3 linked regions of the Arabidopsis thaliana genome follow. The protein of the gene in region 1 interacts with the protein of each later gene in a pairwise test. Each region holds a gene or a part of one and is shown on either strand. Other genes may lie near its edges.

The links.
Region 2: the proteins of AT1G54320 (region 1) and AT1G14990 interact in a protein complementation assay, tested with the Arabidopsis thaliana proteins (one large-scale study listed by BioGRID).
Region 3: the proteins of AT1G54320 (region 1) and FACE2 interact in a protein complementation assay, tested with the Arabidopsis thaliana proteins (one large-scale study listed by BioGRID).

The regions. Positions count from the first base shown.
Region 1 is NC_003070.9:20,274,227-20,282,323, forward strand, and holds AT1G54320 (LEM3 (ligand-effect modulator 3) family protein / CDC50 family protein), read right to left. Parts: upstream 3,756-8,097; 5' UTR 3,568-3,755; coding exon 3,480-3,567; intron 3,237-3,479; coding exon 3,178-3,236; intron 3,077-3,177; coding exon 3,002-3,076; intron 2,925-3,001; coding exon 2,811-2,924; intron 2,712-2,810; coding exon 2,641-2,711; intron 2,446-2,640; coding exon 2,148-2,445; intron 2,041-2,147; coding exon 1,751-2,040; exon of another isoform or gene 1,589-1,750; intron 1,561-1,588; coding exon 1,506-1,560; 3' UTR 1,308-1,505; downstream 1-1,307. Other genes in the region: AT1G54310 (S-adenosyl-L-methionine-dependent methyltransferases superfamily protein), read left to right, coding at 87-309, 416-602, 679-863, 957-1,223; NAC020 (NAC domain containing protein 20), read right to left, coding at 5,489-5,968, 6,086-6,354, 6,507-6,663. UniProt on the Arabidopsis thaliana protein: Required for the lipid transport activity of the ALA/ALIS P4-ATPase complex.
Region 2 is NC_003070.9:5,164,979-5,173,075, forward strand, and holds AT1G14990 (uncharacterized protein), read right to left. Parts: upstream 3,287-8,097; 5' UTR 3,174-3,286; coding exon 3,055-3,173; intron 2,902-3,054; coding exon 2,820-2,901; intron 2,725-2,819; coding exon 2,608-2,724; intron 2,547-2,607; coding exon 2,517-2,546; intron 2,427-2,516; coding exon 2,376-2,426; 3' UTR 2,053-2,375; downstream 1-2,052. Other genes in the region: CPN10 (chaperonin 10), read right to left, coding at 952-1,003, 1,346-1,485, 1,572-1,676; scpl50 (serine carboxypeptidase-like 50), read left to right, coding at 3,635-4,969; AT1G15010 (mediator of RNA polymerase II transcription subunit), read left to right, coding at 6,237-6,665; AT1G15015 (F-box family protein), read left to right, coding at 7,362-7,844.
Region 3 is NC_003071.7:15,210,424-15,218,520, forward strand, and holds FACE2 (farnesylated protein-converting enzyme 2), read left to right. Parts: upstream 1-3,962; 5' UTR 3,963-4,183; coding exon 4,184-4,393; intron 4,394-4,701; coding exon 4,702-4,761; intron 4,762-4,846; coding exon 4,847-5,053; intron 5,054-5,226; coding exon 5,227-5,338; intron 5,339-5,440; coding exon 5,441-5,512; intron 5,513-5,587; coding exon 5,588-5,650; coding exon of another isoform or gene 5,651-5,706; exon of another isoform or gene 5,707-5,735; coding exon 5,736-5,813; intron 5,814-5,892; coding exon 5,893-6,026; 3' UTR 6,027-6,190; downstream 6,191-8,097. Other genes in the region: AT2G36290 (alpha/beta-Hydrolases superfamily protein), read right to left, coding at 300-345; AT2G36295 (uncharacterized protein), read left to right, coding at 1,332-1,673; AT2G36300 (Integral membrane Yip1 family protein), read right to left, coding at 2,939-3,706. UniProt on the Arabidopsis thaliana protein: Protease involved in the processing of a variety of prenylated proteins containing the C-terminal CAAX motif, where C is a cysteine modified with an isoprenoid lipid, A is an aliphatic amino acid and X is any C-terminal amino acid.

The sequences.
Region 1 (8,097 bases):
TTCGCTGACTGATCCCGTCATTTTTTTTTTGTTTTAAACTCATTTTCTTACATTTTCTCTGGTCCTGTCTTATTGCTCTGCTGCAGATTGTCTGGATTGATTGTGGATGTGTTTGGAGATATAGCTGTGGTAGCATCCTCTGCTGCTTGGCTTGAAAAGTACAGGATTGAAGTGGAGAGTTGCTTAAGATCAATTGACGGAATTAATCATATAAACTGGAGACCTTCTCTTGATGTTCTTAAAGAAGATGGTTTTGACATCTCAAGTCTGAAACAGACACAATCATCTACTCTCCCACAGAGATCAATGGTACGGTGTGTGGTGCCCTTAATCAGGTCTTTCTCTCTTCTTCAGATATCTTCATGAATATGGCAACATTACAGGGGTGAGAGCTGAGTAATGTTTCTTATACCAGGTTGTGGAAAATGGGATCTCATACGCAATTTCGCTAGAGGGACAGAAGACAGGGTTCTACACGGATCAGCGCGAAAACCGTCACTTCATATCAACCATCTCTGCTGGTAAAAGAGTTCTTGATCTTTGCTGCTATAGTGGTGGATTTGCACTGAATGCAGCGAGAGGAGGTGCTACCAGTGTTATCGGTACATTTCATCTCTCTCCTCCTTCTGATCCACCTTATGCATTGTCTAGTGAATCGTCTGATCAAAACACTTTCAGGAATTGATTCATCTTTACCTGCTTTGGAGCTCGCCAGAGAGAATGTAATCCTCAACAATATGGATCCAGAGAAGGTTGTTTTCTTTAAACAAGATTCAACAGAATTCATGAAGGGTGCACTGTCAAGAGAAGAGACATGGGACATCGTGATCCTAGACCCTCCTAAGCTAGCTCCGCGGAAAAAGGTGGCGTAGAGTACCTTTCTTTCGTTTCTTGAAAATAGTGATTGTCATAGTTTGTTGTTACATAAATGAGATTGCATCAATGTGGGTTGCCAGGTTTTGCACAACGCTTCAGGAATGTACAGAAATCTCAACTCGTTGGCAATGCGATTGACAAGGAGTGGCGGTCTTATGATGACATGCTCATGTTCAGGGGCAATGACACAGAGCGGGAAGTTCTTGGGGATACTTCAGAGTGCTGCAGCAATGTCAGGAAGGAAGATCACAGTGGTGCGGGAGGCAGGAGCTGCGTCTGACCACCCACTCGACCCATCTTACCCTCAAGGCCAATATCTCTCCAACCTTCTGCTTCGGGTGCTGTGAGCGCACGGAAGTTTGGTTTGTTAGTTCAACTTTTTTTTGTCCGTAGTTTGTAACCATACATAGAAGACTTATAAAAGGCAGATTTGGGGACAAAAGTAATATATTAGACTGGTTTGGAACAACAACAACAAAGTATTATGTGGGATTTAAGCTCTCACCGAAGAAACCATTTTGCAAGCAAGGATTACATAGTATGTAAGCAAAAATTACATTGTATGTGTACATGGATGGATAAGATTTACACACGCAGATTAGAGCTCTCTCTCTCCCTTTCCAAGCTTGTTACCGACCTCCAGGATTTCTATTCCATGACAAGTAGGACGGATCTCCAAGACGCCTGAAACAATGTACACATTTGTTACTCAGCATAACACACTGCGGCTATATGTACACGAATATTTTATTATTATTATATTGGGATATATAAGACAGTTTAACAACCAAAACAACCAGGGTTTAGCCGAAATACAAGTCTTGCATAGAAGGTTACCATCACGACAACAACTACATTTGAAGGATTTGCGTACCTGGGTTTCACAAGGTACATGATGGTAAATGCGAGGGCCAAAATGAAACAGATCCCGCCAACTGTCAGGTAAGCAATGCCAAGGAAATCGTTCTTCCCACCCAGCCAACTAGTGGTTGACAAAACAAGCTTCTTCTTTCCATTGAAGCTGTACGTGTTGTAGTTGTTGTTCAGCTTAACGTGTATGGTGTCACCCATCTCGAGGTCAGACTCTATCTTTCCGTAAAGTTTTCTAAATGTTGGCAATGCTGCGGTTCTCATCCACACAATGAGATCTTCTTGTTCACTAAGCTGCACATATGAAAAGAGGAAGAAAGATGTCAGCGGTCAATATGCTAAGCAGCATCCATGTGATGTCAATGGCAAAATGGACTGATCTCCAGTATTGAAGGGTTTACCGGTATTCTTGGATCTAAAGTAGCACCACCTGTGATATTCCCCTTTTGAAAATTCTTGGGGAAGACCTTGTTCCCAAACTTGTGTTCCTTGTCACTCTTCCATGCAATGCCTTTTTTGTTCACAGCTAGGCTTACATTGTTTCTTGATAACGCGTATGTGTCGTTAAAAAGACTCCAAGCAATTAGACCACACGGCACAATCGGCTGCCCACCAACATCATCCTCAGGCTTGCATGCACTTATTTGATTCTCGTATTTTGTACTTCTCAACTGTGAATCACTTCGACTTTTTACATACCTGTTTCAAAGACACCATCGACGCATTAGAGCTATAAAATCTTGACTAATCTAAGTTAGATACACACATCAGTCCTAGTTCCCGCCTACTCCATGATATCGGTGTTGATTTCCACATAGAACCCACATTGTTCATTATAGGTCTAATACAAAATTATATAATGCTACGGCGTAGTTGCTAACAAGTGTTATATACCTTCGGTGATTCTGGTAGAAATTCTCAAGTTGGTAATAAACATAGATAGGTTGCTTCATACGCTTTGTCACCTATGAATGCCAGTGGAGAAAAAGAGAAAGTAAACAACAAATGCAAAAATCTATCAAATCTCAAAGAACAAAACAAACGTGGCGGCAGAAGTAACTCACTTTAAGATCCCGGTTACAAACTTTATCTCCATCTCCTTGAATATATGCAACCTTGTTAGTCCTAGCAGGTGCCGGAATGCACTCAGTATCATACCGATCAACGATCTCCACAACCTAAACATGGGAGATGAAACACGTGAGATATGGAAGAGAATCTGATGAGTAGCAGCAATGCTTTAGTAACTACTTACATCCTGGGAAGCGAAAAGGGAGATAACTCCAAGGGGAATAAAGATAACACTGACTATCAAAAATGTCGAAATGACCTGCACAACAGCACAAACATGTAAAAAAAGGAGCTTTTAGTTGCGCCTTGTACAGAAATCAGATGTCTCAAACATCAATAGAGATTAGAAAGAAATCTAACCCAACCAGGGGTTAGAATTGGCTTGCAAGCTGGAAGCTCCTGCTGTGTGAACTTCGAATCTGCAAAAGATATTTGCCAACAAAATCACACCTTTTAGCCATAGCTTTGACCATGGTTCCCTAACCATCTTTGTAACGACAATTTTGCAAAGAATTTGAGCTAATCCAAAGCTGTTAACAAATTGTTATTGAAAAACTAGCAAGTCCAGAGAGAATTTGATCCAATTCGAATAAGACAGAAGAGTCAACGATAAGCCATAATGAATAATCGGAAGAAGATAGCGAAGGGAAGATGATAAATACACTTGGGTCGCTTTGAATTCTTCCTAGCGGCGGAAGAATCTCCCGATCCGGCTGCCCCCGCGCTGGACGACGCCGTATTGGAACTCATGGCGGAGAAAACGACGATTACTAAGCCAAGCCTTGAGGGGATTATTCCGGAATCTAAGGAGACCGAGATCGGAGGAAAAGGTGAATCGGACAGAGAGAAATCGGGAAGAGAAAGTAAAATGAAGAGGAAGAAGAAGAACAAGGGGAAGACGAAGATTCGTCGTCGTTAACAGAAAGAACCGGTATTATTCCCATATTGACGTCAAAATGAAAGGCCCACTTTGTGGGCTTTATAATGGGCTTTACTCTATTTTGTTGAGTTGAAGCCCAAAATCTCCCATGCATCATAAAATGTTTTTAAGTTCTACAAATTTTTTGATTTGGAACGTTTTTCCTTCAAATATTGGATACAGTAAAACCTCTATAAATTAATAATGTTCGGACTGCAAAATTTTATTAATTTAGAGGGGTTTTAATTTATCGATAATTTAATATTTATTAATTAATAGAAAATTTTTCCTAATTTAGTAACTTTTCAAAAATTTGTATAAGATTTTTTTTCATTATAGAAAATATCTTTCAAGAATCAATTACAAGTAAAAAATAATATCATATTTAGAAAATAACACCAAAAGTTTTTGATATAGTAAAATACTAAAACTATATTTCAAATAAGGATAAATACAAATTTAAGCAAACAAATATTAGAATTATATTTCAAAGAAATTTCTTACATATAATGTATATATATAATTGATACATTTAAATAATTATTAATTTATGATATTGATGAGACCATATATTTATATAGGATTTTCAAAAAAATTATTATCTTATTAATTTATCGATTTGTGTCACTTTTTATACTGATCCCAACTCGGAACCAAAAACATTTCTTAATTTATAGAGATTATTAATTTATCGAGTATTAATTTATAGAGGTTTTACTAGAGTTTATACTTTAGAGGATGGGATTATGATCAGTGTTAATTGATGAATACAAAATTTAAAAAGTTTAGTATGTTTTATTGCAAGTTTATGCATATACGATCATGTTGAATTTCAAACGAACAAATTATTATCTTATTATATGTTTGGATTTGAAACTGCAATATATATATATATATATATATATATATTTTAAAGATTCATTTATAGTAAGATTGTTTTAGGGATAGTATAATAAGAATGATTAAATAATCTTGCATTTGAGAGAGATCAATGTATGACCTAGACAAAAACGATGATTCGTCTTCAAGTGAAAACTATTAGACCACTATCACTTGGTTAAATTAAATTAAAAGTATCATAAACTAGAGATTTCTTCATGATAATGTTGTTTGTATCTTCCAAATCAATCACAAACTATATATAGTATCATAAACTCGAGATGTCTTTAATCATTGTCTTGTAATTCTCATCTTTTTTAATAAAGAATTTATTTTGTTTGTAGTGAAATTTGTCTCGATTTTTCTCTCTTCTTTGTTTTCAGCTTCTTTTCTTGAGAATTTTTTCTTTATTCATTCAGATTTTAAAACTTTTGTTTCATATTCATAACACATATATATAGTTAAATAAGATATTGATCCGCAGTCGGACATATATAATCCGAAAAGTTTTCCAAATTTGCGTTGCCATGACGCCCATGCCAGATTTTAAGTCTACAAGTATGCAAACCAATAAGTAATGTCGATCGATTACACAATTTTTACTTCCGTTTTCCCTCCTATATATGACAAAACCAACCAACTCTAGTGATTAAGTACCATACACACCTAATGATAAAAATTAAAATAAAATAATGCAATTTCTTTTTGTGGTAGAAAAAATAATTCCACAAACCTCCTCACCCTTTTTCACCAGTCAAACTAATTCATAAGCAAAAAACAAGTAAAAAAAAAAATACTATATATGAAGTACCCGAGTATATTTAAATAAGTTGAGAAAAGAAGTACTAGATGATAGTATGAGATATGGATTTATCAAAGGGAAGCGGGGAAAGTGGCGGAAGAAGAGAAGATTTCGTCAAGTGTCCCGTTCATAGAGTCTCTGCATTGAAAGTCTTGTTGGATTGACATAATCTCTGCTTCGTTCATAGAAAGTTGAGGGAAATCTTGGAGTTGAAGAGGAGGATGATATGGAAGCTGATGAGAATAGTTTGAGAAAAGATGATCATGATCGTCCAGAAGAGAAGATGAGAAATGAAGAGCAAATATGGATGAGCTGTTTGCTTCGTCTAAAAGGACCCCTTGAGTTAGCTCTGATGAAGATGTCTCCGCGGATGCTCTTTTCAAGCTCTCGTCTTCAATATAATTACCATCACATTTTCTCCACTTCTTCTCCTTTTCTTCTTCCTCTTCTTTTCCTACACTAGTGCTCTCTTCTTCTGCTTCTTCTTCTTCCCCTTTTCTCTTTGGAATTTGTATGTTCTTCTTAAACACTCGGCACAATGCATACGACTCCTGTTTTAGATCAACATTAATATTAGTCGATATGGTTTATCAAAAAAAAAAAAATTAGATCAGAAATGAATATAGATATATATGTTAATAGAAGTTTGTGCATGGGAAATAATTTACCTTCAAGGAGGAGGAAGGAGCGTGCGTGAGACGATATTCATGCATGACCCAATTAGTACGAAGGCCATGAGGAGCCCTTCCTCTATAATAAACCAGTGTCTTCTTCATTCCCATCTTCATCTTCTTTGATTCTACTGTACGATCTTTCCCCGTGGCCTTCCAGTAACCCGCTCGGGTCGCACGGTTCGTCCTAGAGCCATTTGGATACTTCTTATCCCTTGTGCTGTAAAAGTACCATTCCATGTCGTTTCCCGGCAAAAATGACTTTTCTGTTCCGCGTATTATCCAAATAAATAACTCATAAAACCTCCAATATCATATGTATGAATGCATCATGACCAATATATGTAATCTATAACGTCAGATTGACATAAACAAGCTGAACCATATATAGAGAGAGATATAAAGAGTTGGATCGTACCAGGCAAGTCCCATGGCTCGCATTTATAAAGATCAACTTCTGGGATGATCTCGAGCTCAATGGCTTGGCCGTTGACCTTCCTATCAAGATAGTAAGCCACCAGTTCTTCATCAGTGGGATGAAACCTGAATCCTGGAGGCAAACTCATGGGCGCCATTCAAAGTGTATGCGTTAGAAAACGAGAGAGAAAGAGATGAGAGAGATTAATTAAAGTGATTAGGATGTTCGTACGACATATGAAGGTGACTATATATAATTAAAAAGATGAGACTCTGAAGAAGATATGATATGGGAATGTGTAAAAGTATGCCATGGGATTGGCATCTTCTGAGATTAATATTTTGTCTTACTTTGGGTTGCTTTTTGGTCAGTGTTTGTCATGATACTCATCACACATATTTTCTAAAACCAATATATATATTTTAAATAAAAACCTAACTCTGGCTTTTGAAGATTCTGCAAGTGTGAAAACCCTAGTAGGAGGAGAGACGGAAAAAGCTTTAGCAAGAAGGCCCCATCTCACAAATACTCACATATATGAATGTATATGCTTATAATTCCGGTTAGACCTTAACGTGGGTCATGAATCATTATAGAGGGATTTTTATAACGTTTGCTTTAAACCAAAAATGAAGGCTTTTTATGATTCAACAGTTTAGGGGACCCATCTCTTCTTCTCAAACCAAATCTACCTGGCGACACCTAAACACTCGGCTTTTTCTTTTCTTTTTTTTTCGGTTTGACAGTTTTGTTATATTGTTTTATGTTGTTATGGTCTTATAATAAGAATACTTATAAATTGAATTCATATATATGATTAAAAAATGGGAGAATAAAAAAGCAGGAGGCATCCAAGTCGACTTTGGCTTTAGTGTTGGGAGGCTTCTTTAGTCCCTTTTACATATGGATTAAAGACGTTGTTCGGCTCTTTTACATCATTACTCCCACACAATCTTTGACTCTCTTTCTCTCGGCCCTTCAATTTTACTAACTTCCGGTCAAATCTCTTTTGCCTCGACTCTCGGCCTCGATCCAAAAGATAAATTAAAAAAATAAGGACATCTTCATTCTTCACATGTATGATATATATAACTCATGTCATATATTAGATGTCTCGTTTACATGGTTTTTTTTCGTTTGCTAATATATATAATTCACATGTAGACGAAGAACATTGTAAACGGAATTTAACAGAATGAAGTAATCAAACGTTTTATGTAAGGAAATGATCAAATACTGAGGGAGTCCACAAGTTGCGACATATATAAAACTCCTCCATTCTTATAAAGTATAATATTCAAACTTCAAGTAAGTAACTCTCCCTTTTCCGTGAGAAAGAAATAACAATAACATTTTAGGGAAGCTTTAAGATGTGGTCACCAATAACTTAGGGAGAGAGAGAGAGAGTGACAGATACAAAAAACAAAAGATAGCAACTGAAAAATATTTTGGCGAAAGATGCTTTAACAGTTTAACTTATCAAACGACAACAACAAGACATGCCCCAATTGTTTCACCACTTTGTTTTTCTTGGTCACAAATCGAGTCTAAGTCTATATGAACAAGTAATTAATGTGAGTACTATATATAA
Region 2 (8,097 bases), about 15 Mb from region 1:
CTTGTAACAATGGCAGGTGGCAAACGCCGATTGAACGGATTTATCCCGGCGGCGAAACTGTGAGTGAAGTAAGCAAAAGAGAGAGAAATTTTATTTATGTTATGTATGTATGCGCTCGTGCGGTGGAAGCATGATCGATTAATCACATGTACTTGAGTATTTATTTGGCTTTTCTTATGTGTTATAGTTCTTTAGTCTTTTTCTTTCTTCAATTCTTTGATTTCAGTTTCTATGGAAAACTATTGTTAAACGTGAGAATTCAATGCATCGGTTTCTACGTATGGTCTAATTTGTATTGGCAGAGAGACTTGTCCAAAAATAGCAATGAGTTTCATACACATTTTTCAGTTTTTGGTTAGAAAGATGAAATATTTTCAATCAACCAACCTATACTAAATTTGAAGGTGCGACAAGACAATATACTACAGTTGTCTTATCATCCAAACGAGTGGGTTAAACAACTGAAAATCCAAAATTAGTAGTTTTCCAACCATTGTGAAAAGGAAATCAAAAGACACAACTTTCAGAATGCATAGACATGGACCTACTTCTCGACCTGATTCAGTTGTCAATATGTGAAGAAGGAGATGCTATATAAAAAAAGCCATGCGGCCAAATGAGCTTATTTCTTTTGTTATAGCATGATCATGAATAAGCAAAGTCAACTAAGCTATCGTCTACATTGGCTATTGAAGTTGCTGCCTAAACGTAAACGAAAAGCATCCACAGATTACGGAAAAGCACAAAATGAGAAGATGCAACACTTGGGTTATCCATGTGATTGATGCCCATTTGTAAAAATTCAAAGACAGGTTCATAAAGGTAGATTCAATGATAAACGACAACAAAGTCCAACCACATCTTCAAGATAAACTAATTTATAAATGACTTCTCCTCATAACACAAACACCAACATGAACCCTCGTGGTTAAGTTGGCAAGCTTAGCCTTTTCAATCCTCGTGCAAAGTTCCCAAAACATCCTCGTCCCGGAAGAGATGGTACCTGCGTCCATCACACAAACACAAAAGTTACTCACTTTGAGTCAAATTCTTCTTCATTTGTAATTTCTTATTCGTTTCTAAAATCAACCCACCAATCAATATGTAAATCTGGTGTTCAAATTGGCATTATTAAACATTGATCAAAATGTTTTTAAATCCTCTGTTACAAAATTTTCAATATCTTCACAGTCTTACAAGTAATTCCCTTAGTTCCATCCATTAATCTAATTAATGGATAATGATTCCTGAACATGATTAGCTAAACATAAAGGTTCAATTAGATCAGATCAGAATTTTATCAGAATATTAGGGCAATAATAAGAAAGAAGCGGGTTTAACTTACTCGTTCTCGCCGAGCTTGACCTGTGTACCACCGTACTCTGGAAGAAGAACAGTGTCGCCTTCCTTCACAGAGACCGGAATCAATTTCCCGTCCTTATCCCTTGATCCAGGTCCAACAGCTATCACCTTGCCTGAGTTCAGCTGCAATCACCCAAAAATATGTTTATTTTTCAGATCTAAGAGGCGAAAATCAGAAGAATCAAATCGTGAAATCAAAGCTCTTTTACCTTGGAGGATTTCTCAGGTAGGAGAATGCCGCTTTCGGTTTTAGCGGGCTGGATGACTCTCTGCACCAAGATGCGGTTGAACGTTGGGATCAGACGCTTCATCATTTCTCAATTCTTCTTCTCTCTCAGTTGATGAATCGGAATTTTCTAGGGTTTCTGAGTTTTTAATTTGGGGCAGAGACACATAAGACGGAAGGTTCTAGATCGTAGGGTTTAGCGCGACAGAAAAAGGCCAAGGGTTTTGGGATTGTTTGGGCCTATAATATCATACTATTTCTTTAATGGGCCTCACTCATTAAAAAAAACCAGTCGCATTTGTGTTTGTCTAAATAAATTCTTGGAAGTGTTGTATGACCTTGCAGCTCAAATGGTTAGTTCCTTCCATGATTCTCTTTGCCAAGTTTTTCAAACTCCATGTACAATCCCATTTCATATACCACATCCAGAATGAGATGTTTATTTTCGGCAGATTTTTCGTGGAATGAAATCTTGACCTTTCTTTTATCAAACGTCTCTGCTGATGATGGAAAGCTTCTTGCTCTGTCAGTTTTCCCCATTTCTTTCAAGGTGGTAACCAAAGTTTTTCCCCGGATTGTTGCTTTGCTATGCTATATGTTTATTACATTGTGCCTCTGCGGGAATTACATGCTCTTAATTTTCAGAGTACAAATCTGAATAATCCATGTAAGCCAATGGTACGGTTCCGGACTTATACAAACACCATACAAATGTTCCAAGATACCAGGATTCGAATTTGCTATAACAAGATTAGGCACAAAGCTGAAACAAAGAGAGCTGGCGCCACTAGCCACTTCCATCGAGTTGGCCTTGAGATAGAAGGTGAGCCATGTATTGCTGCATTCACAATAAAATGAGCTCAATTCTTGGTTCTAACCCCACATGATTCGACAAACATTTCTATCAATGGCACCACAAAGTCAGTACCATCAAGATTCTAGACTTATGGAAACTGACCTTTACAACACTAAAATATCCGCACCACAGAGATTATCATAAAGAGATTGAAGAAACTTACGGAGTGGTAAACGTATGGAGATTTTCCCTGGCGATCAAAATGCTTAGCCATTATGCAGAATTCAACAGGACCCCAATCTTCAGATTCATAGCAATTCCCAAGCGCCGCTTTGTACAGCTTTACTCCAATAAACCCCAATCATCAGTTCCACACAGAACTAATCAACTATATAAACTGTAAACGACAACTCAAAATTGTCATCAAGGACAAACCTTAGCTGTGTCGGTCAAAAGTTCGGTGCCAGCAGGGTAAGATGCATAAAACTGATCTCCCCTGGAATATCCTGCTCTTGTTCTACACAACATTCGAATCAGTAACATTAAATCAAATTAAACCTGAAGCAGAAACCAAGAGAAGAACCCAGAAATTGAAATCATCTGCGAATTCCGATATTGAAAAGAAAGAACAACCAAAAGAAGCAAACTGAGATCGGACGAAAGACATTACGTGTTGTTTGTATAGAAGAATGTGAGGGCAGCAGTGAAGCAGTAGAATCCGGCGTAAGAGACAGCCCGTCGTAGCTTCTGGATCTTTATAACCTCTGAGCAAACATCCAAGATCATCATCTTCACACCTTCGGAAACTCTTTCAGGTATTATATCGAACACCTTGTGATCACTTTACCAAACAGAGATGACGAGTAGAAGAAGCATCTCACGAAATTTGCAATTGACAAATTGTAAACGCTTTGTATTGTCCAACTTTTTATGGGCCTATCTGACCTTTTTCTCTTTTCGGCCCAATAAAACTTTTAGATTTTATTTCTTTTGGCAACAATAAATTTAAAATAATATACATTATGGAAAATCATCTACAAACAAAAACCTTTAAATTAAAAAACTCACATGTTAATGCAATTAGGTTAGTAAGCAAGCACGTCTTGACAAAAATGTTATTGTTACACATTTAAAAATTCACATGTTATACAAGACAAAACATAAACGTAATGTTTTGCAGTCAAATAATGAAATAAATGAAATAATACAAAGGGATCTTTATGTAAAGGCGTCACCAATTAGTGGAAATAATGGAGCAAGCCACTACACTCTTCATATTGCTTTCCACTCTCCTCCTCGCCGTCTCCGTTGAGTCTCCTCAGCCACCGCTATTTCCCGATGAAGCTCTCCCCACTAAATCTGGCTACCTCCCGGTTAAACCCGCACCCGGCTCGTCCATGTTCTATGCCTTCTACGAAGCCCAAGAGCCAACCACACCTCTTCCTGACACTCCGCTCCTCGTTTGGCTCCAAGGTGGGCCAGGCTGCTCTTCAATGATTGGCAACTTTTACGAGCTCGGTCCCTGGCGTGTAGTTTCACGCGCCACAGACCTCGAGCGCAACCCCGGCGCATGGAACCGTCTATTCGGACTACTTTTTGTGGATAACCCAATAGGAGTCGGATTCAGCATCGCAGCCTCACAACAAGACATACCCACAAATCAGAGACAGGTCGCTGAGCATCTTTACGCCGCTCTCGTGGAGTTCCTTGAACAAAACCCAAGCTTCGAAAACCGACCGGTTTACTTCACTGGAGAGAGCTACGCCGGGAAGTACGTTCCAGCCATTGGATACTATATCCTTAAAGAGAAACCCAATGGGAAAGTGAATCTAAAGGGGCTAGCCATTGGAAACGGGCTGACCGACCCGGTGACCCAGGTTCAAACCCATGCGGTCAACGTCTACTACTCGGGTCTGGTCAACGCAAAACAGAGAGTTGAACTGCAAAAAGCGCAGGAGATATCTGTAGCTCTCGTGAAGTCCCAGAAATGGCGTGAAGCAGCAGACGCGAGGACCGAACTGTTGACGCTACTAAGTAACATGACAGGACTCGCGACGCTCTACAACACGGCACGGGCGATTCCATACAGAACAGACCTCGTGGTGGACCTCTTGAACCAGAGAGAAGCAAAACGTGTTTTGGGAGTGAGTGAAACGGTTCGTTTTGAGGAATGTAGTGATGAAGTAGAAGATGTGTTGCGGGCAGACGTGATGAAGAGCGTAAAGTTCATGGTGGAGTACGCATTGGAGAGGACTCAAGTCTTGCTGTATCAAGGTATGCTTGATCTAAGAGACGGCGTCGTTTCGACGGAGGAGTGGATGAAGACTATGAACTGGTCAGGATTGGGAATGTTCTCGACGGCGGAGAGGCGTGTGTGGAAGGATGAAGACGGTGTGGTCGCTGGTTATGTTCAGAGATGGGGGAATTTGTGCCACGTGGCGGTTACAGGAGCTGGTCATTTTGTTCCGACAGATAAAGCTGTGAATTCAAGGGATATGATTGAAGGTTGGGTTTTGGGGAAAGGATTGTTCGGTGGTAAAGATGTGAAGCAGACAACTTCGTCGAGCTTATACCATTCAATCTAAATATTGTGTACTTGTACTTAGTTCTGTAAGATTCAATTCAGATTCTAATTGTACTCTGGATTTAGATTTGTTACGTCATGTTCACAAGTTCATTTTAGTACGAATTGGTAACTTTTGCTACTTAGTTTATCATTTGCCTGTTCCTGAAGTCTTAAACTTTCTCAAAAAAGTTAGCATACAGTATACACTTAAGGATTGATTCAGATAAACTGTTTTGGTAAGAATAAGGAGATTTGAAGCATAAACTAAAGAATTTTTAAAAACATGTAATGGCGATTGGAGGCGGGATTGTGAATGAGATTCAAAGTGATTTGAGTATAAAAAATACACAAAACACAGAGAAAGCACAAAGAAACCCGTACTATGAAGCCATTTTGGTATTAGGGAAAGAAGAGCAAGGGCACCCCGTAGAAAACCTACAGGTATTTCAGAGCTATTTATCAAAATCTCTCCCCTGTTTTTTGCCTCTTTCCCGATTCAATTTTCTCGGAAAAACATTCGCGGAAAACAGAAAGAAAACTACTAATCATATGAAAATCAATCTTTCGCCTAATTGTTGAGAGAATGATATTCAGAACATCGAAAAATTGAAACAAAATTCATTGGAACCCTAATGACGGCTCCTGCTAAAACCTGTGAAACTCGCAACTTTATAGTGCGAAATTAGGAGAGTTAGGGCGGACGATAATCCTTTTAGTTGGGCCGAGAAAAAATTGGGTTCAGAGTTAGGTAACTATTAAGCCCATTGGGCTACTGTGTATAATCTATGTCCATCGTTTGACCTCACCATTGTTAGAACAAACAAAAAAAATAGACATCACTTCACCATTATTTCTTAAATTAATGTTAAGTATGAGAGTACCCCATGATTCCTTAATTAATCATATGGATTGATTCGTACGTTTTTTGGATGTAAACAAAGGAGAGGTCAATGTACATATAATTATTGGTTGATAAATTATGAGGATAGTACGTTAATGGGATTGACATTTAATGATATCTCCAATTTAACACCGATCCATCTTTTTCATCGGAGCTTCATGTTTGATGTTTTTTTATTTGGCCGTGTCGACAAATTTGTAAAAGACGTGTAAAGCTGAAATTGAGAAGAAACAAAAGTGAAATTGTAAGGAAACGTGATCGATGGTGACCCCATCAATATTACGATAAGGTAACGCGCTAAAGCAGCCTTAGCCGTTTTTATTAAATATTATCCAAATATAACTTATAAATAATCCCACCAATTGTGTCTCCTAAGCAACAGAAAATGGAAATGATACTGATCTCGTCATCGACACTCAGGTTCCATCCATTGAGGACATCACAAAGAATCGCCACCGGAACCAATAGAAGACGAACCACCACCGTGTGTGCAGACTACTACAGAGGAGGAAGAACGGTGGACGAGAACATGGTGGTCCTTAGGAAACGAATCCATGAGATGAAGATGGTTGAACGCAACTTTGAACCTCCTTCTCATTGGATGCAATGGGAGAAACGTTTCTACTGCAACTACGACGCTACTATATGTGATGCACTCACTCTTCTCCAAACTTTTCTCATGAACTCTCGTCCCAGCGTCGCGTTTGGAACGTGTCTTCTTCTCCTCGTCAGCGTTCCCGTCTCCTCCGCCGTTTTTGCTTTTCGCATCCTTGATCTAGCTCTTTGGCTTTTGGACGCCGTTCACGTAGTATGATCCGTAAATATCTTTGTTATTTTATCTAGAAACTATCTTTGTTATTTTATGTCGAAATTAAGGTAATTTTCCAAAACTAAAATGGAATTATTTATTATCAACAAATACCTTGAGAAATTCTATAATGATTTTGTTTAAAGAATCCTAATTTCATCTTTTTTGGAAAAATAAAAATAAAAAAAATCCGTACTTCATATGATTTAGGAAAAAAAAGTAATCAGTGTGAAGTAGTAGAAGAAAATCCTTGCTTCATATGACTAGAGATCCGTTGATTATTCGGAATACCGGAAAACTAGAGTCTCTCAGATCTGTTGATTTCTCAATACAAGAAACGAAAAAACGTGAAGAATTCGTTGATTCTCTGCGAATACCGAATCCTACGTCTTCTTATAATCGTTGAAATCTTTCAAGATCTACCGAAAAGAGAAGAGTATTCTAAAAACTCTTTAATTTAATTAATCAATTAACTGAATACAAAAGAATGTATAAACGGCTTATTTATAATAAAACCCAAAAATCAAAATAAACAGTAAAATAATCATATAATTATCTAAAATATAAATAATAAATAATATGGAGGATAATGATTGAAGATATTTGAAAATTATCCTAGTTACGCGCTGCAGTGTATATAAACTCTCAATGGATAGTTATCAAAAGAGTATGTAGCAAATAGAAAAGAGACGAGACAATTCAATGGACGTAACGTTACCTCATCATGTGGTAGAAGATATTCTTGAACGACTTCCTGTAAAAACACTCCGTAAATTCAAATGCGTTTGTAGCACATGGAGATCCACTATAGACTCACAACGTTTCAAGGATAGACATATGATTCATGGACAACTACTCGAAGATCCCGATATCCTCCTTCTCGGGCGTTGGGATCCTCCCAGTCTATCCAAAAACGCTTCTCTAATGACATTGACGTTTGACTCATCGACCATGCCGTTTTCTTTCAAGATTCAAACTATACCCGGAAAAGCCAACTTTTACAAAGTCACTCAAAGTCACTCAAAGTCACTCAAAGTTGTGACGGTCTATGATTCGAACATGGAGGCTACTGGTTTAGTGCTATATGATATGACTCAATCAGAAAGAACATTTGCTAACTTTTGTTTATCATTCAAAAACAGAGAGACACCCACTGCTTATTTCCCAAGCTTAATCACTATTTAACTTTGACATAGTTAATTGATAGTCTTTGTATTTTTTTTTTAAAGTTATACCTTCTGTTTTTTTGTTTTTTCATAGATGAGAGAGTGAAAAAACAATTTTTGAAGATACTGGTTCAGACTACAATGTCAGTGTTATGGTTTTCGTATCAACAAACTCATTCCACAAAGAAACCCAACCAAAACCAGTTATGAAGCTTTTTATGTATTAAAGTGGCCAACAGACTAAAAAGCCGTCGATATAGAAACTGCAGAAG
Region 3 (8,097 bases), on another chromosome or scaffold:
AAATTTAAAGCTAGGATTATGTGATTGAAAGCCATCATTTAATGCATTGTCTAAAGTTCAACAACAGTAATCATTTCATTTCACATCAGCTGACCCAATTCTGGAACTTTTTTTGTATGTGTTTAAAGCTAGGATTACTATTTTGAACGAAATTCAAGAAGTACAAAACTGGAATCTTCGTCTGCGATTTTTGAGAAAATTTTCCACATATATGGTATTTTTTCTTTGTAAGTGACAAAAAAAAAGAAATATCAGAATCTAATGGGCGTAATTATAATGGAAGAGACAAAAGATCAAACCTGAGGAAGGAGACCTGGCGGAATCGGTTGTTGATCCAGTAGCCATTGCCAAAAAAGAAAGAGAGAGCGCGAGAGAGAGAAGTAGCTGGGAAGTGAGAGAAGAGAGAGGTTTGGTCTAATTAACACGCACAGGTTAGATTTTGTTTGGTTTACTTGTAACTTTGGTCGTGTCTTGTTTTGTTTGTTTGTGAATTAACCCAACGTAATAGGATTGAGATGTGAATATCCTTAAGCCACGTAATTCGTTGATTAATTTACGAGTAAATTATTATAATAGAAAAAAAGTTATTATCTTTACAACCGAAATAGAAAATTAGACCCGAAAAAACGGAAAAAGTGAAAATAAAAATTGTGCAAAGTTTATTAAACAAAAGAGTGTGTGTTTATATGTTGGTAGGTATATATTTGATTCGTGTTAGGTGTACCTTCTCCTCCATAAAACCTTTTATAGTATAATACCATTATATAATTATTATCATTTATTTTTGACAATGATGTCGTTGATGCACTCTACAATTACATTCGGAATTGGAATCGACTTTTGAGAAAAGCTTAGGATTCAATATCTTGAACCGGTTCGTGTAATTCGATTGGATGTTGTGCTATAGTCACAAGTAAAAATAGACTCGTTTTGGTGACTACATGTTTGTGGCAACGAACTGAGAAACAATAAGAGAAGTTATCATTTGCTCCTAAGTCCTAAACATATATTATTCGGAAGTAGCTATTAATATAGTTAGATCTAAACAGTGACTGTTGCACCGTACACATTTAATGTACTCAAGTTATTATTATTCTCGATCTCAAGTCACGAGTCTATAACAAATTTCTTTTGGAATTTACTTTCTTCTTTGTATAAAAAAAATCTTTTGGAAGACCCAAAAATTCCCAACAAAGATAGTTGTATATTCGTTGAGGACCGTTCTACTAACCCACCTTCTACTTTAATCACCTTTATATATACGTATTAACCACATAATCAAGTTTAAAACCACAAGGACTCTTAAACCGGAAATTATTTCAAAATCAACAATGACACGTTGTGTTGGTTTGGTTAACCGTGGAACAGAAGAAGAGGAGAAACAAGAAGCAAACGAACCTGAACACGATGGCGAGGGAAGTAGTGAAGAAGACGGCGAAGATGATCTGTTCGAGATAAACCTGGAGGCCGTCAGTGATACGGCCACATCTCCACCGTATGATTGCCAGAGATTACCGGCGAGAACAGGTAGCGTTTTACTGGCCAACTGTCTATTACCAGCTGCCGAAATCTCTAATGCCGTACCGGCAACATCAAGAGGTTGGAGTGATTTGGTTTGGTCTAGAGGGGTTCTCTATGTTGATAATCAAAGAATTGAGAGTAAGAATACTTAATCAGATGTATATCTTACAATTTTACCTTGAAACACAAATACGTATCTTATAGACACTTGAGAGATAATCTTGTCAATATATGCAAGTGTTACGAGTGTTTAATCAGATGGTTTATCACTATCTGGATATCATGGAAGAACTAGGTGAGTATGAGTATATATGGTTTCCTTTGACAAGATCCTGGTAAGGGAGAGACCAAGCCGCCTAAAAGTTTGGTTTCAATTGAGTCCAAGGATCGAAATTGTAGGGTATGTCTTAAGTACATCCACCAGATATATCAGAAATTTTACATCTTTACATTGTATGTTTAAAACAATTGCCTACTCCCCTTTGAGTCAATTTGGATTCTAAAGAAAAGGTGGAACACAAAAATGGTTCCCTCGGAACGAGTGTTGCAACACGAAAATATAGAGATCATTTCTAACACCAGTTCTACTGAATGTTTTAGGAGAAGGTAAAGCTGACAAATACTATGCTCACTCAATTGGACATAGCTGATTCTTCTCGACACATTAAAACAAATTCCATCTAAGAGAGTATGAATTGCGGATAAATCTCTCTCTAATTTCCGTGACACAGCAAATACTATCAGGAAAAGTAAGTGCAGTTCTGGGATTGACAGTAGAAGACGAACCTGAAGCCAAGATCCCATGTCCCTACTTATCTATGCCACCTAATCAGGGAACATACCAACACCGAGCAAACCACTAAATACTAATCACTCTTTCATTAGACTATGCCTAAGTTTCCAACAGCTCTAAAACCAACTCAAAATTCTACTCTACCTACATGGAGCCATACTTTAAGCAAATCTAATGCCAATCATTCCTAAAACTTGGGACCTTTAAGTATAATCCAAGCAAGAAGTCAGCACATCTTCATAGCCTCACACCGGGAAAGTAAATAGCAAAATAAACATGAAATAGGAAGCATATAAACCTCTTCTGCATTAGTACAGAAGCATATCATCCGCAACATCAATTCCAATACTCTCACAAATCTAATGTCCAGGAACAAACTATGTCAAAAGACATATCGACCAAATTGTATAAATAATTCTTAAGTAAGAACCTTAAAGATCAAGTGACAGATACAAACATTGAATCAAATTTCTTAAACACCTTTCTAAATTTATCCAAAAAAGCCTTTACACACCGTGCTATTCCCACCCAATTCAACCTCACATCAAAGAACTTATATTGCAGCCTTTTTTTGCTACTTGCTAACACAGCATCGGAAGTGATTCACGATCTATCAATATGGAATCAAAATATAACAAGAAGAGAGAAGAGAGTATAGATCAAGAAACAAGCGTACGCGATCAAGCCACGGTGCTCTTCTCCACCATCAGCAAGAGATACCACCAATGTAGAGCAGGCTCTAGTGGACCACAACACAAACAAAGCCGCAAGCACAAACCGAACCGGCCCTGCTCCCTGGGGAACGAACAATGACACCGCCGATAAAACCACCACCGGAAGCAAACAGTATCCGACCAAGCTCGTACACGTATGGAGATTAAGGTTCCCATTTCTACCAGCAAGCATGTTAAAGACGACGTATAGAAAGATAGAGGAGACGACGATCCATCCAAGTATGACACCGAACTGGATCTTACCAGCTAACAACTGAAATAAGCAAAGCGCAAGGTACAGAAAGATCGGACCAGATAGATCTGAATCTTTGTGAACAGCTTGGTTAATCCGAAAAGGATTGAGAATCGATCTAGTCTTCTTCCAGATTTGATCTGGATGGATACCGAGCTCGTCGAGTAATGGCTCCTCATCTTCAAACGAAGCTGAACCTCCACCAAAAGAAGAAGAGGAAGCGATTGTCCCGCCGAATGGTCCGGCAGGTGTAGCGGAAGACGCGGCTGCGGATCCAATGTCGAATGACATGAAAGGGATTGCGGAAGAAGAGGGACGCGGCGGTTGAAACGGTGTCGCTGGGAATCTTCGTTGCTGGACATTAGCACCGCCTGAAGATCCACCGGAGGGGAAAACTACAGGTGGAACTGCGAAATCCTTCGTCATCTTCTTTCCGAAATTGAGATCTCACCAAATCAGCAAAGAGATTCGAAATTAGGGTTTCAAGTTTGGATCAATGAGATGAATTTTTTAACCCAATTCACACGTTCGTGACGTTTCAGAGAAAATTCCTTTCTTTTTTTTGTTCTCTTCTTCTTCTTGACAGTGAAGAGACAACTTTAGAAGAAGGCATCTGAGGGTAGTTTCGTCATTCCGTCTAGTTAATGACGAAATATAACCAATAGGCTTCTTCGAAACTGGCATGGTGACGTATATCTTCTGATGATATTACCGTTATACCCTCTTTTATAAACGAAATTGGCCCAATGGGTCTGTTCGGCCCAGTAGTCATCCGTTTTAGTCTATAACGTGGCACGATGTAATTGGTTAAAGATTAGAAGACCGCCGGACTAAGATTTAACCAGCGGTGACTTCGACACTTATTAGCCGGTATATTTCTTCGCCGGAGCTTCCTCAACGATTATGGCCACCGATGGCGAGAGTATCTCGATGTCGTTGGCGGTGGCTACCTGCGTCGCGATGGCACTATTCTACGTTTTGATCCTTTACGTTCCCACCGTGATACTCCGTCTCCCGTCGGCTTCTTCTTACACCGAATTCATGATTCGGCGATTCATCTGCGCGGCCATTTGTACTGTAGCATCTCTCGTCTTCACAGCTTTTATACTTCCGGTAAGCTTCTTTGAGTACCGCCATTTCTCGATTTGAAGTTCATTCTCCGTTGATCTGTAACCAAATTAGGTCCAAATCTAGATGCATTTGGTGTTTTGATGAAAGTTAAACTAAAAGTAAAGAAATTTGATGTATTTGTAACTTTGTTGAGAGTTGAATTAGCTTTTACTAGTTGTTGTAGGTTCACACAATTTGTCTCTAAGAATGTAACACTCAAATATTGGTGACTATGTTGTGTTTGGTACAATTCAACGCTAGTTACAGGAATCTCTGAAACTTGTCTTCCTTTTTTGCTTGAGTAATGTTAGATAAAAAGCTGGGAGGCCTCTTATATACTTGGAGTTTATGGCATAAGGAAAGATCATCTGGTAAGTTCTTTGTCTCAATTTGTTTACTCGTAGCTTATTGTACACTATTCATATTAAAATGGTTATGTTTTGTGATATGGAACAGTGGCAAGGAGTGGTGTATCCTCTTCTATTGACCTCGCTCGTTTATGCTGGGTCTTTGGTGTTGAAGTTGTTTACTCTCCTGGAATCATGGAAGGAAAATGGCGGAGGATGTAGTTCCTTTAATTACATCAGAAGCTTTTTCCAAACAATCCCTGCTTCGGTATTGACAAGTGCTTCTAATGTTTCCGTTTGGCGCAATTTTATCGTGGTAATCATATGTTTGCCATCTCTGTGTGCTTATCTTGTCAATTCTTTATTGAAATTGCATAAGGCATTGCTTGCTAATTGTCTGAGGACTATATGCATCAGTTTGGTGTATAAGTAAGTTCTAAATCGAACAAGTTATAATCTGTTAGAGCTGGCGTTTCTTATGATTTGCAGGCACCAGTAACTGAGGAGCTGGTTTTCCGATCATGTATGATACCTTTGCTTCTGTGTGCTGGGTTTAGGATTAACACTGCCATCTTTCTGTGCCCAGTTCTCTTTAGCTTGGGTTTGTTTCTTTCTCTCTCTCTCTCTCTCTGTGAATAACAGTTTACAACTCGAGTGAAAAGAAAATTACTGGATTTGTCTGACTTTTATATGTTTTGTGTAGCTCACTTAAACCATTTTAGAGAGATGTACATCAGGCATAACCGCAGCTATCTCCGGGCTTCACTTATTGTTGGTATGTCTTTGCCATCCATAATCATAATAATATTGTTTGTTGATCAGTCCTGAGCTTCACTTGTCCGTTGATCAGGTCTTCAGCTTGGCTACACAGTCATTTTTGGTGCATATGCATCGTTTCTCTTCATCAGAACCGGTAACATTCCAGGCATTTATATATCTTATACATGTAAAAGCCTTTCTAATGGATGATTGTCTCCTGCATTGTGTAAATTTTACAGGACATCTTGCTGCTCCTTTGTTTGCTCATATATTTTGCAACTACATGGGATTGCCTGTGCTATACGCAAATGGAAAAGGTAAGACATAAAGTTCAAGGTTGTTAACAAATGCAAATGCAAAAGAATAAGCTAAACATGGTTATGGTTCTTCTCTCAGGTTTGGTGAGTGCAGCGTTCTTAGGCGGTGTGGTTGGGTTCGTCTTACTTCTCTTTCCTTTAACAAAGCCTCTCATGTACAACGATAGTACCAACGATTGTCCGTGTTGGCTTGGCTATTGTTTGTGGAATTGACACTTCTCCAAGTTTTTTTTTATATATCATCATGTCTTAGAATCTATTTTTTGACACAATATTGGAATTATGGTCTTTTACTGCAAGCTAATGTTTCTTGATAGTTTATGTAGTTTTTTCCTTGTAAATATATAATAATAATAATAATTGGTTCAAGTCTCCAAAATTAGTGTTGGCTAATTGTCCATTTTTTTCCGGTATTATCCCTAATGATTCTCTTGCTATCCTAGGAGGGACAGGAAGAAGGATGATCTACATCCCCAAGTCTAACCTAAACTATATTGTCCAATGTCAACACGCCAAAATTCATTTGATTTATATATAAAAATAGAGAAACAATGATTAGAAATTGAACATAGGTCCATAATCTTACATCAGAGATTCAGAAGATGATGTCTTGCTTGATGATCATCCAAAGAGATTTTGGGGGTAATCATCAAACGGATATAATTTTCTGAAAATTATATTTCAAAGTTGACTTTCAAAGTCTGAGTTTATGATGATGATTTTCACTTAGGAGTTACGAAAATTATGTTTCTAGGATTCGTAGGTCTCTCAGTAATTTTCTCACCACCACTTGATTACTATGTCATATTCCTACGAAATTTGAAGCTTGGATAGTTGAATTTATGGTCAATAAATTATCTGTACACTACACATATATTGTGTTTGTGTGAAGTAAACGGTGATTTAACGGGAGAGGATCTCTTCATAAAGAAGATGTGGTTGATTATGCTTGCATATAACAGAATTTGTTGAACCGGAAAATCATCCTCGACAAAACCAATATGCAGTAATCTACTCTAAAATGTATTTTACCCAAACTATACACTACTACTATCTAGTGAGATTCATTACTATTGTTTATGTGGATAGTTTTAAAAAGATGAAGACCAATACTATTATGATCTATTCATAAATCCTATTCTTATTTTATAGTTGTAAGTTGAGCTTTTATAATAGAGAGCATAAATATTGCTGGTATTTGAACTAATACAAACCGTTAAAAAAAGGGAACTAATACAAAAAGAAAAATCAACTAAATTTTCACTAATACTAAAAATTTGCAAAATTATGTTAATTTACGTTTATTTATTTATATTATAAATAAGTGAGTAAAATTCAAAATATTTATTTACCTTACATTTTAAATTTATCATCGCAAAATACACCACAAAATTTCATTAAGAAATATTTGTTTTTTTGTAAAGGAGGTAATAAATGACGTTTTAATATGATACAGTCAATAGGATACAACTTTGATCACGTGATTTAAAATTGGTGGTAAACCTATGTTCTCCTAAACACTTTTTCGTATCTTCTGATATCCTTATGGACCTTATCACTACTTTATCCATATATAAATTTCAATAATTAAAAGAAAACAACCACTTTACAAATTTGTTAATATCAATTACATGGTACCTTGAAAATAAATCTGGTCGAGATTAGAAAACTCTTAACTAACATAACTGAATAATAAAAGTCACATTTTCCAATCTTATTGTTCACAATTTGTTATTTCAAGACCATGAAATTTATAAAAGATAAAGGAAAATGTAGAACCCAATAATAAAAGAGATAAATAAATAATTTAAAGATACTGGTTGTTTAAGAGAAGAGCAGAAGGTACAATGTAGTCCCAGAATCCACCATGTCCTAAACAACCAAACCCCACATGAAAAGGCAAAATAGAAAATCTAATTAACATATAAATGGAAACAAAAGTAAAATATCCCTCAGAAGATAGGCCAGAGAGCATACAACACTCTGTCCTTTTTGTAGTAATTTAATTAGAAGAACCCAACAAAAATATAAAAACTACTCCATAATTAATAATACTACCACTAACCACTATTACTTAGCTAATTTTTCTTACATTACACCAATAAAATAAAAAATAAAAATGATGGGTTCTCCTAATTATCCGAATCCAAGTCTTGTCCTAAAGAGTTTTGTTGCATCAGGATTATCCAGAAGCAGAGCTTGATGAAGAGAGGTTGTTGTTGTTGTTGTTGTTTCCTTGATTTGATCCACTAGAGTTCTTGGTTTTCGAGAGCTTTTGTTTGAG